Danio rerio: one gene and its partners. The protein of the gene in region 1 purifies or fractionates together with the protein of each later gene. This does not show direct contact. Links are inferred from orthologs where the notes say so. Each region holds a gene or a part of one and is shown in the gene's direction. Other genes may lie near its edges. The genes, in order: prpf19, sf3b1, bcas2, prpf8, rpa2, plrg1 and snrpd2.

Region 1 (3,780 bases):
TCCTGATGGTCTGATTTTCGGCACTGGTACGGGCGATTCTCAGATTAAGATCTGGGATCTTAAGGAACGAACCAATGTAGCCAACTTCCCTGGACATTCAGGTCCAGTCACGGCCATTGCCTTCTCTGAGAATGGATACTATCTAGCCACTGGTGAGTCATGTGATCTGTCTGTGTCCATTGTTCAATCTGCATTTTACCTGTTTTCTGAAGTAGTTATTTAAATACTGTTTTACAGTACATTGTTGCAAATCAGCCTTACAGTTATTAATGCAAAAAATGACAGAATTAAGGGCCTCCATCAAATATGATCTGAATCATGCTATAAAGAAGCCATGGTGACTATTTCAGTGTTGATTAAGTTCTGTGTTGTTTAGCAAGTTTTAGTTTACTTCTCTGCAGCTCTAGAGAACTAGAGTTATTACGAAAAAAAACGGAAATTAAAATTATTAGAAAAATGAAACATTACATTTAATGCAGAGGTTTGCTTGAGACATTATAACATCTTACTGTAATTAAGTTCTTAAAGATTATATAAATTCTTACAGTTTATATATTTTTGTAATTTTACTGCATTGCTGCAAAGTAGGTGTTCTGTTTGCTTAACCCTGAACTCTGCGTTGATTAACCCTTAACTTGCTTACTCAAAGTATGTGCACCAAAACTTCTTTTGAGAGTAAGTTCTATTAACAGAACTAGATTAATCATTAGTCATGAATCATTGTTACCTTAAGTGTTTGATGTAGGCTTCTACTGTGTGTATATAATATAATGATAGTGTAGTCCAGTAATATGTGCGTGTCAGGAAGCTGCTGTCAACATCCAGGATAATGAAGTGGATTTGAATTCATGCACACACTTTTTACACTTTCTCTTTTGGAAGTTGTTTTTAATGATTGGTTGGTTTTGCTTCCATATTTGTTAGGGGGGGAATATATTTCTGTAATAAGATTGCATAACCGGTGTATTTTATTAAAAGATAGTAAGATAGTAAGAAGTAAATAATAGTAAAAATAAATTAAACATATTTTGAGTGTTTAACTTACAAAATAAATTAAGAAATAGTAATATTATATGCTAATAATAGTAGAAATTAAGAAATAGTAGAAATTAAGAAACACACACAACCATATATATTAGGCATGGGCTTGTATGAGATTCGGACGCTATGATAACCTTGGTTATGTTCTTTTTAAATGTCTGGGTAAAAACATCAGTTTTTTATACTACTAAACATGTATTTCATTTTAAGAGACATAATATTGTGAAACAGTAAATGTGTCTAATCAATAAAATAAATCATTGATTTCTGGTATATTAGTTTTAAAAACACAGATTTCTTTTAAAAGGCATCTTTGGATTGCATTTTGTCTTTGAATATTTGTAAGCCACTGCACTGTTCAGGTCTATAGTTGGGTGTATCAGTGTTTCTCAATCACATTCTTGGAGGCCCATCAGCTTAGCACATTTTCCATGTCACCTTGACCAAACGCACCTGATTCCAGTCATTAGCTCATTAGCAGAGACTGAAAAACCTGTAATGGGTGTGACAGACATAGGAGAGATCCAAAGCATGCAGTGTTTGTGGTCCTCCAGGATTGTGGTTGAGAAACACTGGTCTATAGGATGTTGATGTATAAGTGAGTTTAAGAGGTAGGTAGTTCAAAAGTTAGGTAGGGGGTGTGGTAGGTTGGTAGGAAGTTTAGTAGGTTGGTAGGAAGTTTAGTAGGTTGGTAGGAAGTTTAGTAGGTTGGTAGCAAGTTTGGTAGGTTGGTAGCAAGTTTGGTAGGTTGGTAGCAAGTTCGGTAGGTCGGAGAAAGTTCGGTAGGTCGGTAGTAAGTTCGGTAGGTCGGTAGTAAGTTCGGTAGGTAGGTCGGAAGTTCGGTAGGTAGGTAGGAAGTTCGTGTGAGAGAGTAAGTCTGAAATAGAGAGAGAGTGGGTGTGAGAGGTTGTTAGGTAGGTAGGTAGGAAGATGGGTAGGTTGGTAGGTAGGACAATTTGGTAGGTAGGCAGTTGGGTATGTAGGTAGGTACAAAGCTAAATGGGTAGGTAGAAAGGTAGTTAAAAGTTAGGCAAGTAAGTAGTTAGGTAGGTTGGTAGGAAGCTAAAGGTAGAGGCTAGGTTGGTAGGAAGTTGGGTTGGTTGGTTGGTAGGTAGGTAGGTAGGTAGATAAGAAGCTAACTAACCCTAAAACGTAACCTGCTGCATATTTAGAGCAATTGTTTCTTACTATAAAAGATATCTTGGTTTTTGGACCTGAAAGCTGCAGTTATTCACTTACATGGCACTTATACGTACATGTCCAATTACCTGCTTTCCGCAGTAGCCCCCAGTTTTTATCATGACAGATGTTAACTCTGAGCAAGCTCTGCCCATTTGGCTCTGCATTGAGTATCACTTGTGTTCACTGTCATGCAAACTACATTTTTTTTGTATGCAGGTGCTCAGGACAGTTCACTGAAGCTGTGGGATCTGAGGAAGCTGAAGAACTTCAAGACAATCACTCTGGACAACAATTACGAGGTCGAATCCCAGAAATATCACTGTCAAATGGTTTTAATCAGTTTGCCAGTTGTTCTGCTTACAGGACGTTTGTCTAATATTTTTGCTGTTTTTTTGATCATGTAGGTCAAGTCCCTGGTGTTTGATCAGAGTGGAACATATCTAGCTGTGGGAGGGTCAGACATCAGAGTTTATATCTGCAAACAGTGGTCCGAGGTCCTCAACTTCTCCGGTGAGTTGAACAACGCTTTGAAGTTTGTCCAAAATTGGGTTTGTTGTTTAATTAAGAGCTTATTCTGTGTCCTCAAACTAATTTAATTTCTTTTTCTTCTTCCTGTAGATCATTCTGGTCTGGTGACTGGTGTGGCTTTTGGTGAACATGCTCAGTTCCTGGCTTCCACAGGCATGGACAGAAGTCTCAAGTTCTACAGCCTGTAACAGAAACAATACTCCCACAACAAATACATCTCTCTGTACGTGTGCATGTGTATACATAGATATGCATTCACTATCATAAACATGGTTGTAGTGATTAATTCAGAAACATTCAGTACACCTTGACTTTGTCACCAGTAAATTCATCTTTTTGTCAATTATTGCTTTAAAACAAATTTTGGCAATAAGGGTTAATGTCAGTTGTTTTTTCGTCTACCTTTTAATCTTTTGATTGTAGGCTGGCAAACTTTGTTAGTGTCCCATGACTTCTCTCTTTTTTTATCCTTCTGTGGACTATCATCAAATGTGAAATAGATTCCAATAAAGTTTAAATTTGTTTTTAATCTATTGTGTATGAATCTGTTGACTCATCGTTTTCATCCATGACAGGCACCAGGGGCCTGTTTCAGTAAGGAGGTTCAACCAACTCTAAGTTTAAACTTGAACTCTGATTTGATTTACAGAGAGATTAAAAACTCAGAGTTTTCAGTTTCAGAATAGCTGATCTGAGTTAGGTCAATCAACATTGAGTAGACCAACTCAAGAGTTAAGTGCGCACACCGCAACTATAAAAAGGCATTATCAATGGAGCGCAGATATTACAATTCACCATGGCAACATCTGAAAAAAAGAGATCACCATTTCTTTCTCCAGCTGAACTTGATGTGCTCATGCAAAGTTACAGCAAATATGACCATATATTTTAAAAAGTAACAATGTAACAGACGGTTAGCGTGGGAAAACATAGCTGCTGTTAATGCTTAGTTTTACATCTAAAGTATTTAAATATTTTAGTATAATAAAAAAGGAATGTAACGTGTGACATTTATAAAAAAAAAAAACA
Region 2 (3,944 bases), on another chromosome or scaffold:
TCCAGTTAAGTTACAATGAAATTGCTACTAAACTACTGTTGCCATTACTGTTATCGTCACAGAATTTGATAGTAATATAAGTTAGTCCTAAGTCAATTAAATATAATATGGAGCAGTTTTTCACAATGTAAAGTAATTACACATGTATACATTTTAAACTTCATGATAATAAAGACAAAATATAATCATTTTTGTGCAAAAGACCCCATCCTAAAATGTAAGACACCCAGACCACATAGTTTCTGGAATAAATACCAAATTTATACATTGAACATGTTGAACATACTATAAATAGATCTAAAATAGTATTTGGAATATGCTTATGTTTCTATTATGTTACATTATTAAATATTTACTTATTTTTTATTATTTAAATTATTAATTATTACTACTATATGTACTAGTTTCTCCATTCCTTCCCCCAAACATTTCCATAGAACCCCTAGCTAAAACTTCCTTAACTCAAATTTAAAACCCCCTGATTATGTAACCATACTGCTTTTTAAAACTGCAGTCAAATCTGTCTTACATGCGCCTGTAACATAAGCATTCAAAACAACAGAGAGCACGGTTTTTATGTAATACTATTTAAAATATTTAAGCTAAAATGACCGTAGTGCATGTGTTTGAATGCAAGAGGGCTTCCTAGTGTTGTGTTGCTGGAAGGGCATCCGCTGCATAAAATATATGATGGATAAGTTGGCGGTTCATTCCTCTGTGGAGACCCCTGATTAATAAAGGGACTAACCCCCCCCAAAAAAGAAAATGAATTAATGTTTCGAAAGAGACACAAGTAAACTTGTCCTGTTCTCATTCCTCCTGAAAAAAGTTTGGTCTTTGCCACATAAATATGCTATTAATTAAGTTGTTTGGTTCATAAATAGCCTTATTCCATTTTATCTTGTTAATCTATACCTTAGAGTCTCTAACTAAAAACAACAAGCAAACATTTGGAAAATCCTCCACTCCGTTGTGGCTCTTTCCTCAAGCAGAGCGGGGGGTAAACTTAACAAGAGAATGCTGTCACTTGCCAGCTGTGTTGACGCCTAGTGCTTGTGCTCTGCGCATGTGCGTTATTTTCTGCCGCAGAGAATGCGCATGCGCGTTCTTGTAAACGAGACGCTGTCGTGAAAGGCCTTCCGGTAGTGAGGCTTACACAACAGCACGAAAATGGCGCAGATCGCCAAAACACATGATGGTGAGTTTAGGTTTCAAATATTTGCAAGAAGCATGTCTCGTTTTGTAGTTTTTTATATATTGCATTTTGTGCTTAATGCCACTTTTTATTTAAAAGAAGTGCATTAAGCGAGAAATGAGCAGGATTAGAACTGGCTAAGCCCGTGAATAGAATATGGCGTCTGGTCGTTGAATAAAACCTGGCCGTGGCGCACATATAAAATATCAGCGCTTTTTCCGCATTAAGAGTTTTTTTGTGGATTATAGCAGAGCTAATTGTAATATACAGTGCTAGAAAATAGCATTAGCATGTGTCTGTTTTGTCTATGTAGACTACGTAATGTGAAGATGTACTGGTTAATCAGTGATGTATTGAAACCAAAATGGCGTTGCAAACACAAACAGAGCTTTTCCATTATGTAGGTATGTTCATAGACGTTTACTTGTGATAGTGTGGTTATTTATTTTATTTTTGTAGAGATGTAACTTGTATTCATTGTTTAACGTTTGGCATTTTCCATGTTTATGTATAACACATGGCCGTGGGTGATTGTCCTGCAACAGTCATTATGTTAAGCGGGCTTACGCACTTTTGTTATATTAATACATTATGCAATGTTTTTATGACAATACCTAAGTAATAATAAAATATAAGTTACATCTCCCTTCACGTATTAGTTATAAATATTTGTAAGGATTTTATATGTATGTAGGGACTTCTTTTTGTCTTAATATTGTGCATGTATGGTTTACAAATCATTGTCTTAAATTGAAGAGTTAGGATTCAAAAATCTCTAAATGCCAACTTGTCTCCTAAAATGAGAATTTTGTTTCAGCCTCCTTGTTATTTCACTTTAAAGTCAATGAAAATAACTTATTCATTACTATAACAGTAACATTACTGAGCCTACACACAGGAGTTAGAGAAAAATGCTAATTGAAGAAGAATATCAAGCGGCATGTAGAGATTTTTTGCATATAAAACTCATCGATTGTTGATTTTAATAATATAGTTTCAGAAAAAGAATTTTTGCAAATTCTTAGTAGGGAAGGCATATGACTGTCAATTAAATAGTGCTACTGTTTTTTTTATTATTCTTTAGGGTTAGATTAAATCTCTTGTGTTAGTTTAGACTGAATATTCATAGCACAGTAAACAATATACAGGCCATAATATAAATATAAAAATATAAAACCAGATTTACCTTAGTTTGTTCTATTAATAGAATATGCAGTTTAATGTCAGTGTGTATTAAAGGTTCCGACTGTATGATAACCTTGGATAAAAGTTTGCAATTACTGCTCTAAAATAAGTTCTTTTTAAATATCTGTTAAAAAACAAAAACATTTCACTTTGAACACAATATATATATATATATATATATATATATATATATATATATATATATATATATATATATATATATATATATATATATATATATAGGTACAGACTTCATTAGTTAAAAAAAAAAACAGATTTCTTTAAAATTTAAATTTGGCATCTTTGGAGATTTTTTTTCTGCTAGAGATACTGTTGTCCTAAAAAAACGAAACGTAAAAAAAATCCTACGTTACAGAAAAATTTGGTGTTTTTTTTTAAACCTTGACATTTCCAAACCACGGTATACCTTGAAAAAGGTTATTGTCCCATGCCTAACATGTATAAAAGTGACGTTAGTGATGGTGGAAAATGACTTCCAGGTCACCTCACCTATTATAATATTAGTTAAAATGTTTTTTGTTATTTTTAGAGGACTAATCTCTGGTTGTTGTTTTTTGTTTTTGTTGTAGACATTGAGGCTCAGATCCTGGAAATCCAGGGGAAGAAAGCCGCTCTGGTGGTGGAGGGCGGTGACCAAGGAGTTGGCCTTGATTCCACTGGGTATTATGACCAGGAGATCTACGGGGGCAGTGACAGCCGCTTTGATGGGTATTTGACTTCAATTGCTGCCAATGAGCAGGAGGATGTAAGTTATAGCATAACGCTCTTAAAAGTAAAACAAAAAATACAACTCCATTGTGTATAAGAATTCTGTTTAGTTTCTTGAACCTAACCCCAACTATTTTTATTTTAGGATGATGACGAGGATTCATCTACAAGTCTCCTTGTACAGAAGAAACCAGGATATCATGCTCCGGTTGCAATACTCAACTCAATTCCTCAGTCAGATGAGCAGGTAATTTAACAGACTTTCCACCTTCAAGTTGCAGTGTGTGTGTGTGTGTTTTCTTGTGAAGTTTTTGTATGTGTTTTTGAAATGTCAATTTCGAATTGATCATACAATTGTTTGTACCCATTTTGCAGTATGATCCCTTTGCCGAACACAGACCGCAGAAAATTTCAGACAGGGAGGATGAATACAAGAAGCGCAGACAAAAGATGATCATCTCCCCAGAGCGTCATGACCCGTTTGCTGATGGTAAATTTCACACTACCATTCTCCTCTGCTTATTTTATTTGCCCATGCCAATCAGTATTTATGTTCTCTGCCCATGACGATCCGGTGCAGACCGGCCTTTTTTGCTGCTTAACCCTTCGAACACCACCCAACTGCTTGCTCCCTGGACTGATCTGTAAAGGCCCTGATATGTGCTCAGCGAAGTCTTTGAATTTTTCTTAAAACTTTCATTTAAGGATAAAATAAGTGTAAAATACTTGAACAGTTCTGTTCTGTTAGTAAATTCTAAACCACTCAGGCCACTCTTTATAATAATATATGGTGTACTGCACGTTTAACAAAATAAATATAAATTATAGAATTAAG
Region 3 (4,091 bases), on another chromosome or scaffold:
ATCAGCTCATTAGTGGAGACTGAAAGACCTGTAATGAGTGTAACGAAGGAGACATCCAAAACATGCAGTGCTGGTGCTCCTCTAGAGACAATTTTAAGGGACAATTTTTGCTATTAAAAACCCATCAACACTGACTTTGTTTTCTTAATAAATTCCTTATTAATAATTAGGTTTTAGTTTAGGTATTAAGTATTAGCAATGAAGAATAAGATCAAGCAGAAAATGTATTATATACTCAGTGAAAATACTTGGATTAAAAATACATCAACATATAACCCAACTAGGTTATTATACCAACTTCCCAACTGTGGGTTATTTTAACCCAATGCATTTGGTTATTTTGATTAAATGTAATTTTTCTCCATTCTGGTATTGCTACTATTAGTACTAGTATTATTTTATAATTATGGCTGTGTAAATAAATAACATACAGTTTAAAAAATATTGAAAATGCTTTATTTCCATTGCATTTAAAGTTCCAGACACTTAAGGGGTTTTATCTGTTTAATATAGATCGGCTATGAGGTGTTTGTATTATTAACAATTCAGAGTGCTGGTGGATATAAAACACATGACATGGAGAGGTAATTTGATTAAAAGAATGTATTGCGTTAGACCTTAAACTTTTTAACGCAAAAACATCATTATGTACACATAACAATAAAGCTGTTCTGTATCAGTTAAATCAGTAGACTGTTGAAATTCTACATTTTTAACCCAACTGGTTGAGTTATTAAGTAAATAAAGGTTAAAAATAACCTAACAGAACACCAAATATCTAACCCAACTGGATGAGTTATTAATAAATAACCCAATAAAGTTTCAAAATAACCCAACAAAGCACCAAATATTTTTAACTCAACCATTGGGTAAAATAAATAACTTGTGAGCCAATAAGGCAGTAATAAGTAAAATAGAGGGTACTTATATTAAGTGTTACCATTTTTCATTTTTCATTTTTTCAACAAATGTTTTTTTGCTTAATATACTTGTTTGGTGAATGCTTGTTCCACAATTTACAACATTTAAAAAACTTGACATTTGAATGTTTTTTATGAAAAAAGCAAAGCAGCAAAAAAGGTAAGTTTCATTAGCAACATTTTGAGAAGATCATAAAAAAAACAGACAACTTTGGGTGACCATACTTTCACTGGATAGCATGTTTTTTGTGACTTCAATGTGTTTTCTTTTTACTTTCTGTCAAACTTTCGCGCTAAATAAACTGATGGCGCGTTTTCTCTCCGAAACACAAGATGGCGCCTACCTTCCGTTTGACGTTCAATGTAATCCTAGCAGAAGCAGTGCGCGAAGCGTGTGTTTGTTCAGGATGGCAGGACCAGCATCAGTCGCTGGTGATGTTTTTGTTGATGCCCTGCCTTATTTCGACCAGGGTTATGATGCCACAGGGGTCAGAGAAGCCGTAAGTACACTGAATATGTATTTTTGTGCTTTCTGTCTTTTTAAAACGATGAAGAATAAATATTTACTTTGCTGGCAGTTGGCTAACGGCTAGTTCTGTTGCATAAACAAGACAGTTTGGATATTTAATCCTTCGTTTTTGTGGATTAAGTATGGTTTGGTATTACAGTGATCTTTATTAAATCGAGAAATAATCGGGTTTGATGGATTTTAGGCCGCTGCTTTGGTGGAGGAAGAGACGAGACGATACAGACCAACTAAAAACTACTTGAGTTACTTGCCCACACCAGATTTCTCTGCTTTTGAGGTAAATAAAAGATGAGAAATATTTTCTGCTCCTTTTCTACTTGTTCACACTGTAATCTTATATTCTGCTTTTGTTCTCATCAGACAGAAATCATGAGGAATGAGTTTGAGAGACTGGCTGCCCGTCAACCCATGGAGCTGCTCAGTATGAAGAGGTCAATTTACTGAGCAAAAGTTAAAACTGTCTGTAAAAATGTACTTTCAAAGTGGATAGGGAAGTACTATAATACTCATAAACCTAAAACTCGTAAAAGTATTCCACCAATCAGATTGTACTGTACCATATAGTAATTGAGCAACTTGTAGGTCTGGGGCTACTTGCATAAACATGCATCAAAGAAATAATAAATTGTTAACATCTGCATTAATTCATTTACCAGATGCCTTTTTTTTTTCCAAACAACTTGCATATAAGGATAAAAAAGCACTTTAAATCACTTTAAGTAAACGTGTGCAGAGCCACGTTTTGTAGGTGAATGACTGTAGCTTGAATTTGATCAAGTATGACCGGGCAGTTGTGGCTATGTGGTCTGTAAATTTCAGCTGGTCAAGAACCACTCCAAGGTTTCTGACTGTCCTGAAAGTAGTTTTATTTAATTTATAGTTTGTTTATTTATGAGTATGTCATTTTCTTTACTTGAGTTTTATTGTCCAACTCAAACATTTAAGAAGTGGTTAGCTCTGTAAAATCCCCCCTTCCTTAAAGAGCATTTGTCCTTTTCATTGAGGAATATATTATAATTCAATAAGTTGCTGTTCACTGTTGTGTAGATTTCTGAAAATCAGAAATTTTTGAAACCAAATCCATTGTTGACAGCGATAAGCAAAATCAAGAAACAAACAAACTGATGAGACTCAAGATCAGGCCAAAACTTGAAATCAGGTCTTGAAGCTTACCGGTTGGTTGTGATTGTCATAACAATGCGATGACATAATTATCAATTCCTCTACATTCATTCATTCCCAGAGTGCACATACAGTAATAGGCTTACCCTAATATAATTACTAATTTGTTGATCGAGCTCACATTCTTGCACTTGTTTGTTTAGATATGAGCTTCCCGCTCCATCGTCCGGACAGAAGAACGACATGACAGCGTGGCAGGACTGTGTGAATAACTCTATGGCGCAGCTGGAGCATCAGGCGGTGCGCATTGAGAACCTGGAGCTCATGGCTCAGTATGGAACCAATGCATGGAAGATGTCTAATGAGTGAGTGAACTGACTTAAATCAGACTATTCACATCTTTTGATGCAAATCAGACTTTCTATACTCTAGGGGTGTGTGATATTGACAGAAATATGAAGCTGTTTCTATTAAATTATTGTAAATGAGTATTATTTTACTGTTCCAAAACAGCTTTATAAAAGATGTGCATTATTACATTACAATCACAGTTAGAAAAAGTTACAAATGTCAAATGTATTAATAGTTAATCTGCAGTTCTACAATATAATGTACCTTTTCAAAAAGTATATCTGTTCTGTTTGAAAGCAATAATAATTAATCATGTAATAATTCGGTGAGTGTTTTTAGTCGGTCACCTTGGCTGTATTAGGCCTGTCATTAGCTATGTTTCCATCCACCTATTTTTATGCTCATTTTGGAGATGCATTTAAAAAAATTATTGATGGAAACACCAAGATGAGCATTAGTTTGTTATAAGAGGTCATGTGCAGTGTTGGGGGGGTTACTTTGGAAATGTAATAGATCACAGATTACAAATTACCCTATTAAAAAACTAAAAAAACTTTTTAATTACTTTATAAAAATAAACTAACTGATTACACTTGATTATACTTGAACTTCAATATGTCCTGTTTGTTAATTCACAGTAAAATGATGACATCAGAATATAACTTTTCATAATTATAAAGTTGATTTATTATGTTTAAGACATGTGCTTGTCATCTGTCATTGACAACATTAGACCATTATATTTCCTTTATATATGGGCTAGGGTTATTAATTTTACTGTTCCAAAGCATGTTTACAGTGATACTGACACAGTAAACATTTATTTTCATGCACAACACTTTGTGTTCTCTATGAAAGAAAAAACCTATCAAATGCTTGTCGTAATCATAAATCTAAAATGCGATATGATCATTTATCAGTAACAATTCAGTAATAATCACAACAGGTTATTATGTACTGACGTCATTTATCTCATATGCACTCCGTTGCGAGGGAGGCGAGTGCAAGTATTTACAATGATCCAACGACTTAAAACTCATAAACTGTGCACAATTTCACTGCATGTGTTTGCTGGATCAGTCTTTCACTGACATTTACAGCAAAGCCCCTATTTCACTGCGACTGAGACCATTTCTCTCTCTCTCACTCACACGCACACACACACAATC
Region 4 (3,969 bases), on another chromosome or scaffold:
ACATCTATAATATGGAATTATCAGAATGTGCTGTAGAGTAGAAAATCTATTTCTATTAAAGAATTGGTGGACAGAGGAATAGTTCTTATTTTAGATTTATTAAAAAAGGACGGTAACATTTACTCTTACTTTGAGTTTTCTGCAATTTTCTGAAGGGATACTTAGCCCAGAGTATGATTTGGTTATAAAATCTATTTTAACAAAACTATTATATTTGACTAGAACCTATGCTTATACAGACTTAAAATGTGAAATGCACAAATTAGTTATTTATTAATTAGCTATTGGATAAATTACTTATATTAAATGTAATAATTAGCACATTAGAAGAAATTTTGTTAATAAGTCTAGCTTGTACCGAAAAGCATTTTATAACTTTAAATTAAATTACCCGGTTCTATCCCTCATTACAATTTGGCCTGGTATCAATACGTTTTTAGTACCAAATAAGATGACAGAACTTTATTTTAAAATCCTTCATAATTACTATCCCTGTAATTCTTTACTATCTAAATTTAATAAAAACAATTCTTTACAATGCACATTCTATAAATCTAATAGTACAACAGTACATTTATTTTTAGACAGAATATCTTGGCTTGTCTTATCAGCTTATAAAATCCTTATTGATTTTAAGACAATTATTTTATTGTTTTTGTTTTGGGAGTCAGATTGTAAGGAATTGGACAGTGTGTTGACATTTTTACCTCTTTGTGGCCTTTTCCATCTTCACAAATGTAGAGTTATTCAGTGTTTGCCTAATAGAACATTTTGTATTGACTTAAAACTTTATTATGAATTGCTAAAGAAGAAAGCTGCCAAGACAACTGAAATGCTGAAGATATATATATATATATATATATATATATATATATATATATATATATATATTTATATATATATATAAACATTTTATGTATTGTTTTTTCTTAGCCTTTGTAACATCTTTGTAACTAGCTGTACAACGAATATGTATCATTAGTATTCTGGTCACACAATATTAGGACAAATTAATGTTTTATGTGTCCCCTATTACTAATGTTAGTAAAAAATTAAAAAGGACAGCGAGACTTTTCAAATCCGGTGTCATATCCGGAAGTTGGGTCCTACGCATTTTCTTACGTTCGAAGTCGTAGCTTGTTATCATTTCCGTTGAGGTAGAATTGTTCAGATACGTAAGCGCTTTGGAGAATGGAAAGACTCTACGCACAACGTGCATAGTACGCCATTCCGCTGAGCACAAAACCACCGTACAACTACAGTCACTGGCGAGAAACTGCTTTTAACTGTAAGTTATTTCATTCTGTACGAGCTTGTGCATATTTTATTTGCAAGATTTCAAAGTATCACTTACGATTTGAAACTGTTTGTTTCCGGAAACGGTTTACTTGTTGTGTAATATTCGGTAAGCTAAGCTAACATGCTAACTAATGCGTTATCGATGCCACAGAAACTAATCAAACCACATACATTCATACACACCAGTCGTAAATATTGTTACTTAAGATAAAGACTGTGTAAAAGTCTACCCGGTGGCTGTCTTGTGTAAATAAATAGTTTCTAGATTATTTTTCGAAGGTAAGAAAAGAGTTCAGGCGCGATAGCAAGTTAGTCGGCTAAGTTCATTGATGTGATTGTTATGAAAAAAATGTGATTAAGTTATGTACTTTAAAGCTAGTTGATAATACTTCCACATTTTAGTTTCTTTTAGAACGATTAAATTAGCATTAGTTAGGTCAGTCTTCCTGCTTACTGAATTCTTATTTAGGTTTTGTTGTTGTTGTAGGCTTGTGAGGACGTGTTTTATTGAAATAATTGTTGTCTTTTCTGTGCGTTACTCATGTTTTGCAGTGTAACCTTCTATATTTATGATTTAATGTTTCTGCTTGCAGTAGACGCTGCCATGGCAGCTCCTTTCCCCTACAGAGGTCTTCCTGGACCAATGCCTCCAGGTGTTCCTCCACCTCCTCCTGCTGTTGCTCCAGTGCCAGATTATATGACTGAGGAGAAACTGCAAGAGAAAGGTGCGTTGGCAAAATTCTTGAGGTTAACAACGGCATGCAATTTGTACCCAAGACTCAAAGTTTGTTTCCTTTTTTTCAAATGAAATCTCCTTCTTGTAGCTCGTAAATGGCAGCAGCTGCAGGCCAAGCGCTACTCTGAGAAAAGGAAATTTGGCTTCGTGGATGCTCAGAAAGAGGACATGCCACCAGAACATGTGCGCAAAATTATCAGGGATCATGGTGACATGACGAACAGGAAATTTCGTCATGATAAAAGAGTCTACCTAGGGTAAGAACATTTGCATCATTACAAAGGTAGCTGGTTTTTATATGATTATCATTATTAAAGTTTTTTTTATGTAAAATTAATTGTTGTTTTTAATCTGCAGGGCCCTGAAGTATATGCCCCATGCAGTGCTCAAACTGCTGGAGAACATGCCAATGCCCTGGGAGCAGATCAGAGATGTACCTGTGCTCTACCACATCACAGGCGCTATATCTTTCGTGAATGAAATCCCTTGGGTTATTGAGCCAGTGTACATTTCTCAGTGGGGGTAAGTGGCTGTGTGATGTCACTTGTGAGAGGATAGATTAGTGGGAAAAAATGTTGGCTAAGGCCATTTGTAGTATTTTCTTGGGGTGCTGCGTAGTTGTGCAGTAAATTGTGGTTATGCGACCAAAGTGTAATTTTAGCAGTAAAAATTGTCATATTATTGTAATTAATTATTAACATTAAAACATCTTATCATTACCGTATTTCAAAGTAAAACAAGGAAAATTAAATAAATTAATTTTTTTGTAATATTTTGCTTGTCATATTTGAGAAGGAAATATTTTGATTGAAAGATTTATAGTGCCCTTTTTGGGGAGAAGCTGTAGCAATATTGTTTATTCAATTTTTTATTTTTTTTTATTGTTTTATAATGTTTAAACTGTTTCTCTTTACACCAGCACAATGTGGATCATGATGCGTCGTGAGAAGAGAGACAGACGGCACTTCAAGCGCATGCGTTTCCCGCCATTTGATGATGAAGAGCCTCCTTTGGATTATGCAGACAACATCCTGGATGTGGAGCCTCTGGAGGCGATCCAGATGGAGCTGGACCCTGATGAGGACTCTTCTGTCACAGACTGGCTCTATGAGCATCAACCTCTGAAAGACACCACCAAGTGAGTGTTGGGGACAATTTTAAAAATATGGTTACTTGCTTCATTTGTTTATGGTTTGTCTTTTTTCTTCCTTCCACAGATACGTGAATGGGACCACATACAGACGATGGCAATTCACTTTGCCAATGATGTCCACTCTGTATCGATTGGCTAATCAGCTGCTGACAGACTTGGTGGATGACAATTACTTTTACTTGTTTGACTTGAAAGCTTTCTTCACCTCTAAAGCTTTGAACATGGCCATTCCTGGAGGACCTAAATTTGAGCCACTTGTCAGAGACATTAACCTCCAGTACGTACTGTGTCCTAACTGTGGTATATTTGGCAATTGCTTATGTTATCCAGGGATCTAACTTGACTTTCGTTTTAGGGATGAAGACTGGAATGAGTTCAATGACATCAACAAGATCATCATCAGACAGCCAATCAGGACAGAATACAAAATTGCATTCCCTTACTTGTACAACAATCTGCCACATCATGTGCACCTCACCTGGTAGGAACCATTATCTTTCCTTCAGTTCAATCATTCACAAAAACTCTTGAACTGATGTTTTTAAGTGAACTGTTGTTCTGTGGTGGTCTATACAGGTACCATACACCAAATGTGGTGTTCATCAAGACTGAAGATCCTGATCTACCCGCCTTCTACTTTGACCCTCTGATCAACCCCATCTCTCATAGGCACTCAGTCAAGGTCAGAAATTAATTAAACTGTATGAATTAAACGTCTGTGCATTCAGTCCACAATTATTGCAAAGTTGTATTTTCTCCATAGAGCCAAGAGCCACTGCCA
Region 5 (4,229 bases), on another chromosome or scaffold:
CATTTGTCTCCTCAAGTTATAATTAGATTGTCTAACTCAGTGGTTCCCAAAGTTTATATTCGCACATTTGTTCATTTAGCAGTCTCTATATTGTTTACCATGTTACTTTGAATATTCGATCGGAATTAGCATGCAAGTTTGACTTCTAAACAATATTAACACTGTCTAATTCACTGTGAACAATGTTGTACTTTCATAATCATTTGCTGCTAAAGTGCTAATATGATTTCCCTATTTAGAATTTGCAAAGAATACTTTTCTGAAATTATATTATTAAGGAGAATGTCTGAATATCTCAATTTAAACCAGCTTTACCTCTATGGAATTATGTGGAACCCTGCATATTGTACAGTGCATGAAGAGACTTAGGATGAAATGTGTTAGAAATCAATTTCTTCGATTTTAAGAGGTCTAAAGTTAACAGCAACGTTAGTCATAAAGTTATTTTTCATAAAGAAAATATCATGGCGTTAAATAAGCTGTCCAACTATCTGGTCAATACTGCCATCTAGTGTTTCATTGTGGCATTTCTAACTGTTTTATCTTATAGAGCTAGTGTAAAAAATAAAACAGTATGCAATAGTATAATATATATAATTCAGTATACTATATAAATAATTTTAAAACCTAGCTATAAACATTTAAACGACTATATTTTAGTACTCTCTAACTTAGTGTTCCCAAAGTCTGCCTCCTGAAATTGTATAACCTTTTATTCCAGTAAATAAACTCAAAATAAGCTGTAACGTTACCCTAGTACGTTAAAAGAAATCCCGTTGAATCCCTGGGTGCTAAGTGTAACTGTACATGACATAATTCACTCACATACACTGATGAAACACTGCATTGACAGTCAGTGACTATGAGAGAGCCAAAGTAGAAGAGAAAAACTTTACCGAATGAACAAAAGGCCGCTTTGCAGCTTCTGTCTGAGCTCAATAAAGAGGACATCTGTGTTCGCAGTCTCTTCCATTGGTATTTCTTTACAGAAGCTATGGATTCATCGATTCTACTCATAAATCCCACGCGACACACAAAACAACGTGACGACAAACTGTCTGCGACACCGTCATTTCATATTAAGAGTCTTCAGAATTCAGTTTGCATCTGTTCAGTGTTAACGTTACTTTTAAAAACATTTTAAAAAACGCTGTTTTCAAACATATTTGGACAGTTATTATAATTATTTTATTTTAATATATAAACAATATATGACTGGGCTTAGCCCGCTTACATGCTTTAACTATTCCAAAACATATGAGAACGAGCGTAAACGTTTTAATGTAAATTTCAGTGAAGAAAGATTACAGATTTTTTGTTGTTTTTATTTATTTTTTTATGCTTTATTTTTATTTAAAAACAATTTTAACAACATACAAGCTTCTGTGGACTTTTACAGTATACGTGTGGGACTTTCGCGGCAGATGACACACGCGCACGCGTACTGTGAGCGCGCGGACTTCGAGACGTGACGTCAAACTGTGCGCGATCAGTCGTGGCGGGAGATTTTCGAGTGTCTTGTCGGTCTGCTTCGCATTCAGAAGAAAAACATTCACGAGTGAAATGTGGAACCAAGGTACGTGCTTTAGAAATCACTTTATTTTGGCTTTAGAGCTGAGTTTACTCTGCTAGTCCGCTAATGAGAGTCAGAAAGCTCTGTTATACAGTGTCAGTGTGATGTCGGTTAGCGGTGTGTTGTCAAGGTCTGTTTTTAACGCACTCTTACGTTACTGCCAGTCGGACGGGGTTTTTAACCAATAAGTCGTTTTGATTGAAATATGGTATTCATATTTTTGCAGGTAAATACGGAGAGGCCAGTATGGCTGGGTACACACAGTCTCCTGGAGGATTCGGGTCACCAGCCGCTTCTCAAGGAGGAGACAAAAAGGGGGTCAGTATATAAATAACTTTAAACACCTATATATATATATATATATATATATATATATATATATATATATATATTGAGGTAAAGTTGGTTTTATATTCGCACATTCGTTCAGTGACAACTTGTGACATGCTCCTCATATTGTTTACCATGGTACTTTAAATATTTGGTCTGAAATCACTTGTAAACATGACTTCAAAACAACATTAACACCATTTATTTGACTGTAAACAATGCTGTACTTTGATAGTCACTAGCTGATAATATGATTTTAGCATTTAAAATTTGCATAAATACTTTGTGACGTTTTATCTTTAAGGAGAATGTGCGAATATTAAACCCACCTTACCTCAATTGTGTGGGGTTCATATTAAATTCCTCCAATACCATATTTAATTCTGTTTAAATATTTAATTGCAGTTAATACGACTTGAGTATATTTTGTTTAAACTACATATATTTGTAAATATTACCCATAGTTTTCTATAATAGCACTTTTAACTTATCCCTATATCGTGCACTTTCTAAACTGCATTTTGAAATGACAAAAAAAGTAAAAAATACAAGTTAAATGTTCACTTCAATGTTTCAGACTATTTTTGTGACAACGAAATGTTAAAAAATGTGTGAAAAAATTGTTTGGTATTAAGCTCAACAAGTTTTTGTGTAATTAAACAAAAGCAAATACCTGTTATGTACTTCCTGATTATATAGTTAAAAGAGTAATTTAATAAACTAAATTTGGTTATAATTTAACTTTTTGTTAACAAATGGGTAAAGTGAAATGTTTTGCAGAACAGTTAATAAATATTAAGATTTCAAATGACAGGTATAAAATTTAGAGTTTGAGACTAAACTAAATTTAGTGGCCATCTTATGTAACTTGAAGTAAATTGAAATAAAATATTTATTAGTTGTTATTTTTGTTTATTATTATATTTCTTTGCTTAAAATAAAAGCGACACATCGTAAAAAAAGTTAAAACAGACAATAGATTTGCTCAAACTATTTTTTATTATCATTTAATGCACTTTTTAATACAATACAAGCCTAAACGTTGAGTTTAAGCTATTAAGCTAAACATTTAAGCTATTTTCTGTTATTTAAAAAATAAATAAAATATAAAAGATTTAGAAATTCTTTTATGAAGTATTTAATTTTCATTGCCAAAATTGTCTTTGTCTTTCATCTCAATGTTTAGGTCTGTTTTTGCTTGTGTAAATACTGAATAATATTTAATAAGGTATATAAATCATATCTTTTATAGAAGGTTTTTTCAGTATATTTCAATAATTTTCAAGTCGCTGTTTAAATTTAGGCAAACAAACTTATAACTTTAATGCAGTATTGATATGTTTGGGGACAATTCTGTTTGTGTAAAAATAATACGACTTTCACTATTTTGGCCTAATACATCTTTTGTGTAGCTGTTAGAATGACCGTAGAGAGAGTAGTATTGTTATTTTAACAGTACTTATTTGAGTCATTATCGTGTTGTTTAAGTGATTATGAAAACAGTGGGAAATCAGTGTAGTATTGTGATCTTCATGTGTGATGCTGTAAAGTGTAACAGTGATGTGTGTGTGTGTGTGTGTGTTCAGAGGACACGAGCGCAGCAGATCGTTCCCTGTACTGTATCTCAGCTGTTGTCGGCGGTGCAGGCTGAGGACGTCTTTAAAGTGGGAGAGGTGGAGATCGCACAGGTCAGTCTGAAGAATCACTAAATATCCACATTTTTATTGAAAGGGTTTCCATTTTATGGAGCCAGATCAGTCTCAAAAGTAATATATTTATAAAAAAGAATTCATTCACATATAAAAAATCTAATTCATAACTTCAAAACACGATTCATCTCTTATTACATTGTATTTAAAGTGCTGCATTGTATGTGGTTTGGATGTTTTTATTACATTACATATACAATAATAAAAAAAACAAATAAAAGAATTGCCACCCTAGTTTAAAGGGATTGTTCATCCAAAAATGAAAATTTCCTCACTCTTTACTCTCCCTCAAGCGTTTCCAAACCTTTGTGTTCAGTTCTTCTGTTGAAGAAGATATTTTGAAAGATGTTGGAAATCTGTAACCATTGACTTCCATTGTAGGAAAAACGAATACTATGTAGGGATGTAATGATTCACCTGACTCAAGAGTTTATTCACAATACACAATTTATTCATGATTTTTAAACAAAACTATTCGAAACAAATTTAAGGTAAAGAGCTCTTTCATTCCTTATTTAAATGCAGCACATCGTTTGCAAAATAATAATTTTTTAAAATTTAAATTAATTGTAATTTAATTTTAAATTAAAAAATAAAATACAAAGATAATAGAAACT
Region 6 (4,214 bases), on another chromosome or scaffold:
AAGAAATATTTCAACAGCTCATTATTTTTGTTTTATGTGTGCCCAAATGTATTCATTCATTCATTCATTCATTTTCTTCTTTCTTTCTTTTTTTTTTTTGGTACCTTTCTCAACGAAGAGTAGGCAACTTTGCTGTCAATGGAGGATAAGGGAGCTCTTAGATTCATACATATCTTAATTTGAGTTCTGAAGATGAACTATTATCTTGAGGGTTTGGAATGACATCAGGGTAAGTTATTAATAACAGAATTTTCATTTTTGAGTAAACCAATCCTTTAATGATATTATTGCAAATATGCCATGTTGATGGCAGCTATCAAGGTTTAGATAGCTATCATCTTAATATACATCAATTAAACAGTAATAAACATTTCTTTTTGTAGTTCAATAATGTATGGTATGGTAAGGACACACAATAAAAAACGACACAGAAAATATTATATTTACCTCATATTTTGATATCTTGTGAGTAAGGTATCAAGGCGGCCCAGTCAGTCAGTTTACATAGGACTACTAATTTTGTTTTCATACAAAGTAGTTTTTTTAGCTTTAATAAACTATCATAATAAAAGCTATTTTAATTCCGGTAAGGACCATGTAAATGTGTGGGATGGCCGCATTTAGTTACAATAAAAAATCATAAACAATATTAGCCTATATAATAATAATAAACTTGAAGAAAGAAATGTTAAATAAGCTGATGAAAATCAAATAATATAAATTTTTAGTAAAATGTTCTTATTTTTTAAAACAAATTGTGACCAGAGTTATGGAACATGAACAAAAATATGTTTGGAGGTATTTTCATAAGTTTAGGCTATATAAAATCACTTAAATATTATTATATATAAACAAACATTTTTTTCAAGGTCTGTAATATTTATAAAGCATCATATACCAAATTTTAACATATATCTAAAAATATGTAAATAAAAAAAACACTTTCTCTTGGCAAAAAAGTATATTATTTTATAGTGCCACCTTGTGGATTCTCACTAGTAGGTCTTTTACTACATCCTAAATTTTCAAAACTAGCAGATGAAATAAATTAAATTGGCTGCCTGACCTTTTTACATTATTTATTTATTTATTTATTTATTTATTTATTTATTTATTTATTTATTTATTTATTTATTTATCTATCTATCTATTTATTTATTTATTTATTGGTTTGTTTGTTTAGAACCCATAAGCAGTCATTAACTTTAGTGTTTAATGTGGTCTTCCCAAAGTTGTTGGCAGCCAAATACATCGATACTGTAAATGTTGTGTTTATTGTAAATGGCCATAAGTTGACTTTTTGGTGATAAAAAAATAAAAATAAAATACGAAAAAAAAAAGACTTTTAATGGACTGTCGTGTCTTGCTGACGTAACACCCTACCGGAAAACGCTTTGTCGCGCCCGGAAGCTGTGCGTACGTTTGCACTACTGGTTCGGGTTGTGATTGTTCGGTGTGTTGGGAAGTTTCTTTATTTGCGTTAGTTCGTCGTGTTTTAAAGGACCCCCAAACATGACCGAGGTAAGGCTGTGCTGTTGTTGCATTAGCCGTTGTTCATTTGAAAATGATATCTGTTTAGTTTTTCTGTAATTGAACGCGGCGTAACGTTACTGTATTACCACACGTGTGGTCATTTGGATCTGCATATACGTCTTATAATATCCAATCAATTAATCGATGTTGATATTTTGTCTTTTTTATACACACAGGACGTGCAGAAGCACTCAGTCCACACGCTTGTGTTTCGCTCTTTGAAACGGACTCATGATATGTTTGTGGCGGATCATGCCAAACCTATAGCGCAGGACGAGCAGAGGTAAATAATCAAACTTTTTGCTCTCAGTATTGTATGGCAACGTTGATTAAAAATTAAAATCGATATAGACCTTTCACTCACCCTCAGATGGTTCCAAACCTTAATACGTTTCTATTTAATTGAGATATGTTGAAGAATCTTGGAAACCGGTTGCCATTGACATTCATAGTAGGGAAAATATTATAAGCGTCACATTGAGGTGAAGCTGGTTTTGTATTCGCTCATTCGGACTTTCTCCTTAATAATATAATTTTTGTTAAAGTAATCTTTGCAAATTTTAAATGGGAAAACCATATTAGCAGCCACGACTATCAAAATACAGTATTGTTCACAGTCAAATAAATGGTGCTAATGTTGTTTTGAAGTCATATTTATATGTGATTTCAGACTGAATGATCAAAGTACCTAGGTAAACAATATAGGGAGCATGTCACAAGTTATCACTGAAAGAATGTACGGATATAAAACCAACTTTTCCTCAATGGACATCATTGGCTACCGGCTTCCAAGATTCTTCAAAATGTCTTATTTTGTGTTCAACTAAAAAAAAATCTGACAAGTTTGGATCAATTGGGAGGGTGAATCATTTTTAATTTTTGAGCAAACTGGCTTTTCAAGCAGAAAAGACATTTTGAATGGTGGTGGTGATTTATAAACTCGTGTTACAGGGTTTGTTAAAGCCATGTTTTTTTACAATAACATTTTACAGCATTTGACAGGCTGTTCATCACCACTGTGAAGATCCTACTCAATGCTTGTTTTACAAGATTTCCTTATCTGCAAAACAAATTTCATTGGACTGTCCTGCTTTTAAAGGGGTGGTCCAGAGTGTATTTTTAAGCCTTGTTGTGTTTATAAGATGCAAAGCAATGTGTGCTCATGTTTAATTTGTAGAACATCTTACTTTGATTATATACAACTACTCAGCTAACATGAAAACAACTGTCATTTCCTAGTTTCTTCAAAAGCCTGTCCTCAAGAGGCTCTGATTGGTCAGCTAACATAATGTGCTGTGATTCACAGATCGGCTCCACGTCACCAGGAAATGCACCTCTAATAGCATGCACTGTGCCTTTGCTTGTGTAAATACTGTCAATCAGTTTAGCTGTTAGTCATATCAGTTTGAGCCTGAATCAGAAAGAAAAAGAAAAGGACACAGCTGAACCTCACGCCCGTTCTCTAAAATAAAACCTGACAAGTGTCTTTCACATATATCCGGAATAAGCATGTGTAAGTAATATGAAACTTTCACATATCTTTTGCGAGTTTGTTGTCTGAGATGTAGAACACAGGGAAATCGACCTCATAGACACTGCAGCGTGGTAAAGATTGTGGCTGTTTACAAGGGTTTGATGGACAAATATGAATTTGTAGCCAAATTGTTAGTAGTGCCCTACAGCATTTCCCATTGTTTACATTTTTGTTTGTGTCTTTGCTTCAGCATACCGTTAATGATAGAAACTGTGCATGTAGTAGATCAATTATAACAAATATAAATATCAGTTTTGTCTATTATGGTTGCAACTTCTGCTTCTTTGGAGGAGTTTTAGCCGAATCCAACACTGAACTTGGAAACATTCTGGAAGCTGTCCTTTGTCAAATGCTAGAGCTTTATCATTTTTATCATTCTCTGGAACATAATTAAAATTAAGCTAGTTCGATTGAGTAGGCGCAGCCAATGTGACATCGTAGCGGAGTTTGCGGAGGTTTGGGTGCGTACAACATGATTTCGGGAATAGTTTTTTTTCTTTACACTCGAGCAAACAGTGTGTGCGGTGCCGCATTTGATTTGAGTTTAATATGAAACACTTTGAAGAGATTTTGTCTGGAACAGGTACGCCTGTACAGACATCTTTTGTAGAGATAACCATTTATAGGATTTTACAGTGATGTATATATTACAATTTTGAATTTAAAACAATTTAATAGTTACAAAACTAAAATGAAGGAACAAAATATTTCTTTGATAACTGGAAAGGAATATTTAAACCCATCGGTTTACAATATACTGATGGCTTGTTTGTCTAGGCTTTATCAAATCAAATCAGGCCTTTATTTGTCACATACACTTTCGTATTGTGAAATTTGACCGTACACAAACATCACAATTTTCAGGGGAAGACAGGTCACAGGAGGTAGCATTTAGAAAGGCAAGATGCATCAGGAGGGTTAGGCAAAAAATACCCTCTAAACTTTGCTCTTGATTAGAGCAAATTGAGACGGAGAAAAACAGCCCATCTAGCACAAGAAAGCACACAGACAAGACACAACATTGACAACTGGGATGGGAACAGGGGATATGGATGTAGTGCGATGAGGGTGGGCAGCCATCTGGTCCTGCAGCCATGGAGGAGCTGGTCGCAGACCCGCCCACTCCTCTCATGGGTGAAAGCATACG
Region 7 (2,849 bases), on another chromosome or scaffold:
CTTGTTTATCAGATGTCTCCTCGCTGCTCATCTTCACCGTGTTCACCGGGGATGATATTTACACACGCTGTGAAGTTTGTCATACCTCCGCGGATGCGCACTTCCGTTCATTTGCATGGAGCGACCTAACTGGCATCTGTTTAAAGATTTAAAGTTTACATGAATCTTTGACGCTGACATAAGAAAAATAGCATTTTAAAAATTACTTTAAATAATCCGGGAGCAGTTTCATTTAGTGAACCACCTTAGCGTCTAGTTCAGGTTCCTTTCCATGCTACTGTGAATATTCTGTCTAATACAGCATATATGACTTCAAAACAACATTAGCAGTATTTCATTGACTGTGTGTGAAAAAGTTGTACTTTGATAGTCATTGGCTGTCTGCTAATATGATTTCCCAATGTAGAATATAAAACCAACTTTACCTCAATGTAAATATTATAGGGACTGTGTCACATGTTGTCTCTGAATGAATGTGTCAATTTAAATTTTACTTCTCCTCAATTTAAATATGTTACTATTGCAGTGTGAATGGATGTAGCTCAGTGGTAGAGCGCATGCTTTGCATGTATGAGGTCCTGGGTTCAATCCCCAGTATCTCCAAGAGCCTTTCGAGGTTCTGTCCACAGACGATAAACAGGGTTAAGAAAGTGGTGTATGGTCATAGGTTTAGTTGCAGCGTCTTCAATTGTCTTATCACACTAACTGTACAAAAAAAAAAAAAAAAAAAAACTACTAACACTTCCCTTCTTAGACTTTACAGACCTGAAACTTGCCTTTAGTACTTATTCATTGTTGCTCTTAGTTGTGTAAATTGCTTCCTTGTCCTCATTTGTAAGTCGCTTTGGATAAAAGCGTCTGCTAAATGACTAAATGTAAATGTAAATGAAGAGATAAAATTGCTTTAAAAAAAAAAGTATGCAAAAGTAAGCCTATATTAACATGGCTATTTTTTTAAAGTACTCATGGCTAGGGTTTTATACTTGCATATTCATTCAGTGACAACTTGTGACATGGTTTTCTACATTAATTACCTTTCAACTTTGAATATTCGGTCTGAAATCGCATCCAAGTAGGACTTAACATCATTAGCACTATTTTATTGTCTGTAAACAATGTTGTACTTTGATATTCATTGACTGCTAATATAACTTCCCCATTTAGAATTAAGAAATAATGCTTTTCTTAAATTATTATTATTATTATTAAGAGGAAATCCAAATATGCAAATATAAAATCACCTCAATTGTAATTTGGCCGATGTAAATTTTAGCCCTTTATGCAGACATGCTAACTGTTGAAATGTCTCATCAGGAGTTTATTAAACAAGCCCAAATCTGAGATGACTCCAGAGGAGCTCCAGAAGCGAGAGGAGGAAGAGTTTAACACCGGTCCACTTTCAGTGCTCACCCAGTCTGTGAAAAACAACACACAGGTCCTCATCAACTGCCGCAACAACAAGAAGCTGCTGGGCAGAGTCAAAGCATTCGACAGGTAACTCGTGTCATTTTGAGTGATAAATAATGCAAGCAGGCTTTGTTTACATTAGTGCTGCACAATATTTCGTGTCAGCATCAATATCCCAATGTTCGCATCTGCAATAGTCACATTTCAAAATATGCAAGAATTTTGTTGACCAAGAGCGACAGAATTGTGTTTAATTACTGTATTTATACAGGATTTAGGCAAATAAAGCATTTCTTATCATTTTTGGCTTGTTTCTAGTCCAAATGTTTACATTTCAAAGCTAAAAAAATAACAAAGTAAAAGTGAAACAAAACTATATTTACTTGATTCAAAAATTTTAGATATTTCCACTAGTAATGAGACAAAGCAAAGCAAGAAAATTATTTTTTTTTACATTGTGATTAATTTCTGTGAATTTAATTTCTGTACCTGAATACTGTTAGACTCTATTGAAAACCATCAAACAGTGCTATTTAAATTCTCTTCTAAAACTGTATCCCATATTGCAACATTTATTGCAAATTAAAATCTCACACTATCAAATTTTTCTAAAATTGTGCAGCCCTAGTTTACATGCACAGGCTTGTGTTGATATGATTAAACTTTTGAATATCTGTGTTGCAATAGTTTTCTGAACAAAGTATCTGCAGAGTAATAGTTGCATTTTGTGTCAACATAACCTATGCTTGTGTCTCCTGTTTGCTATAGGATTTGCTAAGATGTGTATTTTATTTGCTACAAATAAATTATATTGAATTATTTAATGATTTTGCTGAATATTTTCCCAATACTACCATGTAATATATAAACATAATATAAATTATTACTATATAATATCTAAACTATTACTATATAATATATAAACTATTACAATATAATATATGAACTTTTAATATAAGATATTTAATATATAAACATATTATTAACTTTTCCTATATAATATATAAACCATGAATATATAAGATATATAATATATAAACTAGGCTTGGGCGGTATCCAACCGGCGGTATACCGTCAAATCTCCTCCCTATTTTAACCAGGTATCCGGTATTACCAAGCATAATAAACAAAATTACGACGTAAGGCTCAGACAGCGTCACCAAATTGTGCCTAAACCATTCAGAAACTGATACCGTATATGCGACCTTAGGTTTGCGGTCACCTGTTTGTCTTGTTTGTATTCTTCTGCGTAGGACGCTCTTTCTTCAAACACACACACACACACACACACAGAGATAGAGAGAAAAAGAAGAGAGAGAACCAAGCAACACCCAGCAACTCTCTTTCTCTCTCTCTCTCTCTCTCTCTCTCTCTCTCTCTCTCATTCACACACACACAAACACACACCGAGAGAGAGCACCAAGTGACACACGCAGATTGCA

Evidence for each region.
Region 2: the proteins of prpf19 (region 1) and sf3b1 purify together in Homo sapiens (co-immunoprecipitation; 4 studies listed by BioGRID and IntAct, with this or other methods). This does not show direct contact. The link is inferred for Danio rerio from reciprocal best matches to the Homo sapiens genes PRPF19 and SF3B1.
Region 3: the proteins of prpf19 (region 1) and bcas2 purify together in Homo sapiens (co-immunoprecipitation; 10 studies listed by BioGRID and IntAct, counting the BioPlex papers as one, with this or other methods). This does not show direct contact. The link is inferred for Danio rerio from reciprocal best matches to the Homo sapiens genes PRPF19 and BCAS2.
Region 4: the proteins of prpf19 (region 1) and prpf8 purify together in Homo sapiens (affinity purification with mass spectrometry; 5 studies listed by BioGRID and IntAct, with this or other methods). This does not show direct contact. The link is inferred for Danio rerio from reciprocal best matches to the Homo sapiens genes PRPF19 and PRPF8.
Region 5: the proteins of prpf19 (region 1) and rpa2 purify together in Homo sapiens (affinity purification with western blotting; 4 studies listed by BioGRID, with this or other methods). This does not show direct contact. The link is inferred for Danio rerio from reciprocal best matches to the Homo sapiens genes PRPF19 and RPA2.
Region 6: the proteins of prpf19 (region 1) and plrg1 purify together in Homo sapiens (affinity purification with mass spectrometry; 8 studies listed by BioGRID and IntAct, counting the BioPlex papers as one, with this or other methods). This does not show direct contact. The link is inferred for Danio rerio from reciprocal best matches to the Homo sapiens genes PRPF19 and PLRG1.
Region 7: the proteins of prpf19 (region 1) and snrpd2 fractionate together in Homo sapiens (co-fractionation; 3 studies listed by BioGRID). This does not show direct contact. The link is inferred for Danio rerio from reciprocal best matches to the Homo sapiens genes PRPF19 and SNRPD2.

Annotation. Positions count from the first base shown.
Region 1 is NC_133189.1:18,672,395-18,676,174, forward strand, and holds the end of prpf19 (pre-mRNA-processing factor 19), read left to right. Parts: coding exon 1-152; intron 153-2,439; coding exon 2,440-2,522; intron 2,523-2,627; coding exon 2,628-2,733; intron 2,734-2,841; coding exon 2,842-2,939; 3' UTR 2,940-3,280; downstream 3,281-3,780. UniProt on the Homo sapiens protein: Ubiquitin-protein ligase which is a core component of several complexes mainly involved pre-mRNA splicing and DNA repair. Required for pre-mRNA splicing as component of the spliceosome.
Region 2 is NC_133184.1:33,854,378-33,858,321, reverse strand, and holds the start of sf3b1 (splicing factor 3B subunit 1), read left to right. Parts: upstream 1-1,144; 5' UTR 1,145-1,170; coding exon 1,171-1,198; intron 1,199-2,970; coding exon 2,971-3,146; intron 3,147-3,254; coding exon 3,255-3,356; intron 3,357-3,484; coding exon 3,485-3,599; intron 3,600-3,944. UniProt on the Homo sapiens protein: Component of the 17S U2 SnRNP complex of the spliceosome, a large ribonucleoprotein complex that removes introns from transcribed pre-mRNAs.
Region 3 is NC_133183.1:12,585,319-12,589,409, reverse strand, and holds the start of bcas2 (pre-mRNA-splicing factor SPF27), read left to right. Parts: upstream 1-1,291; 5' UTR 1,292-1,327; coding exon 1,328-1,420; intron 1,421-1,633; coding exon 1,634-1,726; intron 1,727-1,809; coding exon 1,810-1,880; intron 1,881-2,774; coding exon 2,775-2,936; intron 2,937-4,091. UniProt on the Homo sapiens protein: Required for pre-mRNA splicing as component of the activated spliceosome. Component of the PRP19-CDC5L complex that forms an integral part of the spliceosome and is required for activating pre-mRNA splicing.
Region 4 is NC_133190.1:30,766,022-30,769,990, reverse strand, and holds the start of prpf8 (pre-mRNA-processing-splicing factor 8), read left to right. Parts: upstream 1-1,169; 5' UTR 1,170-1,288; intron 1,289-1,892; 5' UTR 1,893-1,903; coding exon 1,904-2,024; intron 2,025-2,123; coding exon 2,124-2,292; intron 2,293-2,392; coding exon 2,393-2,557; intron 2,558-2,954; coding exon 2,955-3,173; intron 3,174-3,252; coding exon 3,253-3,465; intron 3,466-3,543; coding exon 3,544-3,669; intron 3,670-3,764; coding exon 3,765-3,870; intron 3,871-3,951; coding exon 3,952-3,969. UniProt on the Homo sapiens protein: Plays a role in pre-mRNA splicing as core component of precatalytic, catalytic and postcatalytic spliceosomal complexes, both of the predominant U2-type spliceosome and the minor U12-type spliceosome.
Region 5 is NC_133191.1:4,971,333-4,975,561, reverse strand, and holds the start of rpa2 (replication protein A 32 kDa subunit), read left to right. Parts: upstream 1-1,429; 5' UTR 1,430-1,563; coding exon 1,564-1,576; intron 1,577-1,799; coding exon 1,800-1,891; intron 1,892-3,489; coding exon 3,490-3,591; intron 3,592-4,229. Other genes in the region: ube3d (E3 ubiquitin-protein ligase E3D), read right to left, coding at 897-973. UniProt on the Homo sapiens protein: As part of the heterotrimeric replication protein A complex (RPA/RP-A), binds and stabilizes single-stranded DNA intermediates that form during DNA replication or upon DNA stress.
Region 6 is NC_133176.1:27,248,272-27,252,485, forward strand, and holds the start of plrg1 (pleiotropic regulator 1), read left to right. Parts: upstream 1-1,414; 5' UTR 1,415-1,512; coding exon 1,513-1,521; intron 1,522-1,709; coding exon 1,710-1,816; intron 1,817-4,214. UniProt on the Homo sapiens protein: Involved in pre-mRNA splicing as component of the spliceosome. Component of the PRP19-CDC5L complex that forms an integral part of the spliceosome and is required for activating pre-mRNA splicing.
Region 7 is NC_133193.1:43,804,206-43,807,054, reverse strand, and holds part of snrpd2 (small nuclear ribonucleoprotein Sm D2), read left to right. Parts: intron 1-533; exon of another isoform or gene 534-603; intron 604-1,314; coding exon 1,315-1,494; intron 1,495-2,849. UniProt on the Homo sapiens protein: Plays a role in pre-mRNA splicing as a core component of the spliceosomal U1, U2, U4 and U5 small nuclear ribonucleoproteins (snRNPs), the building blocks of the spliceosome.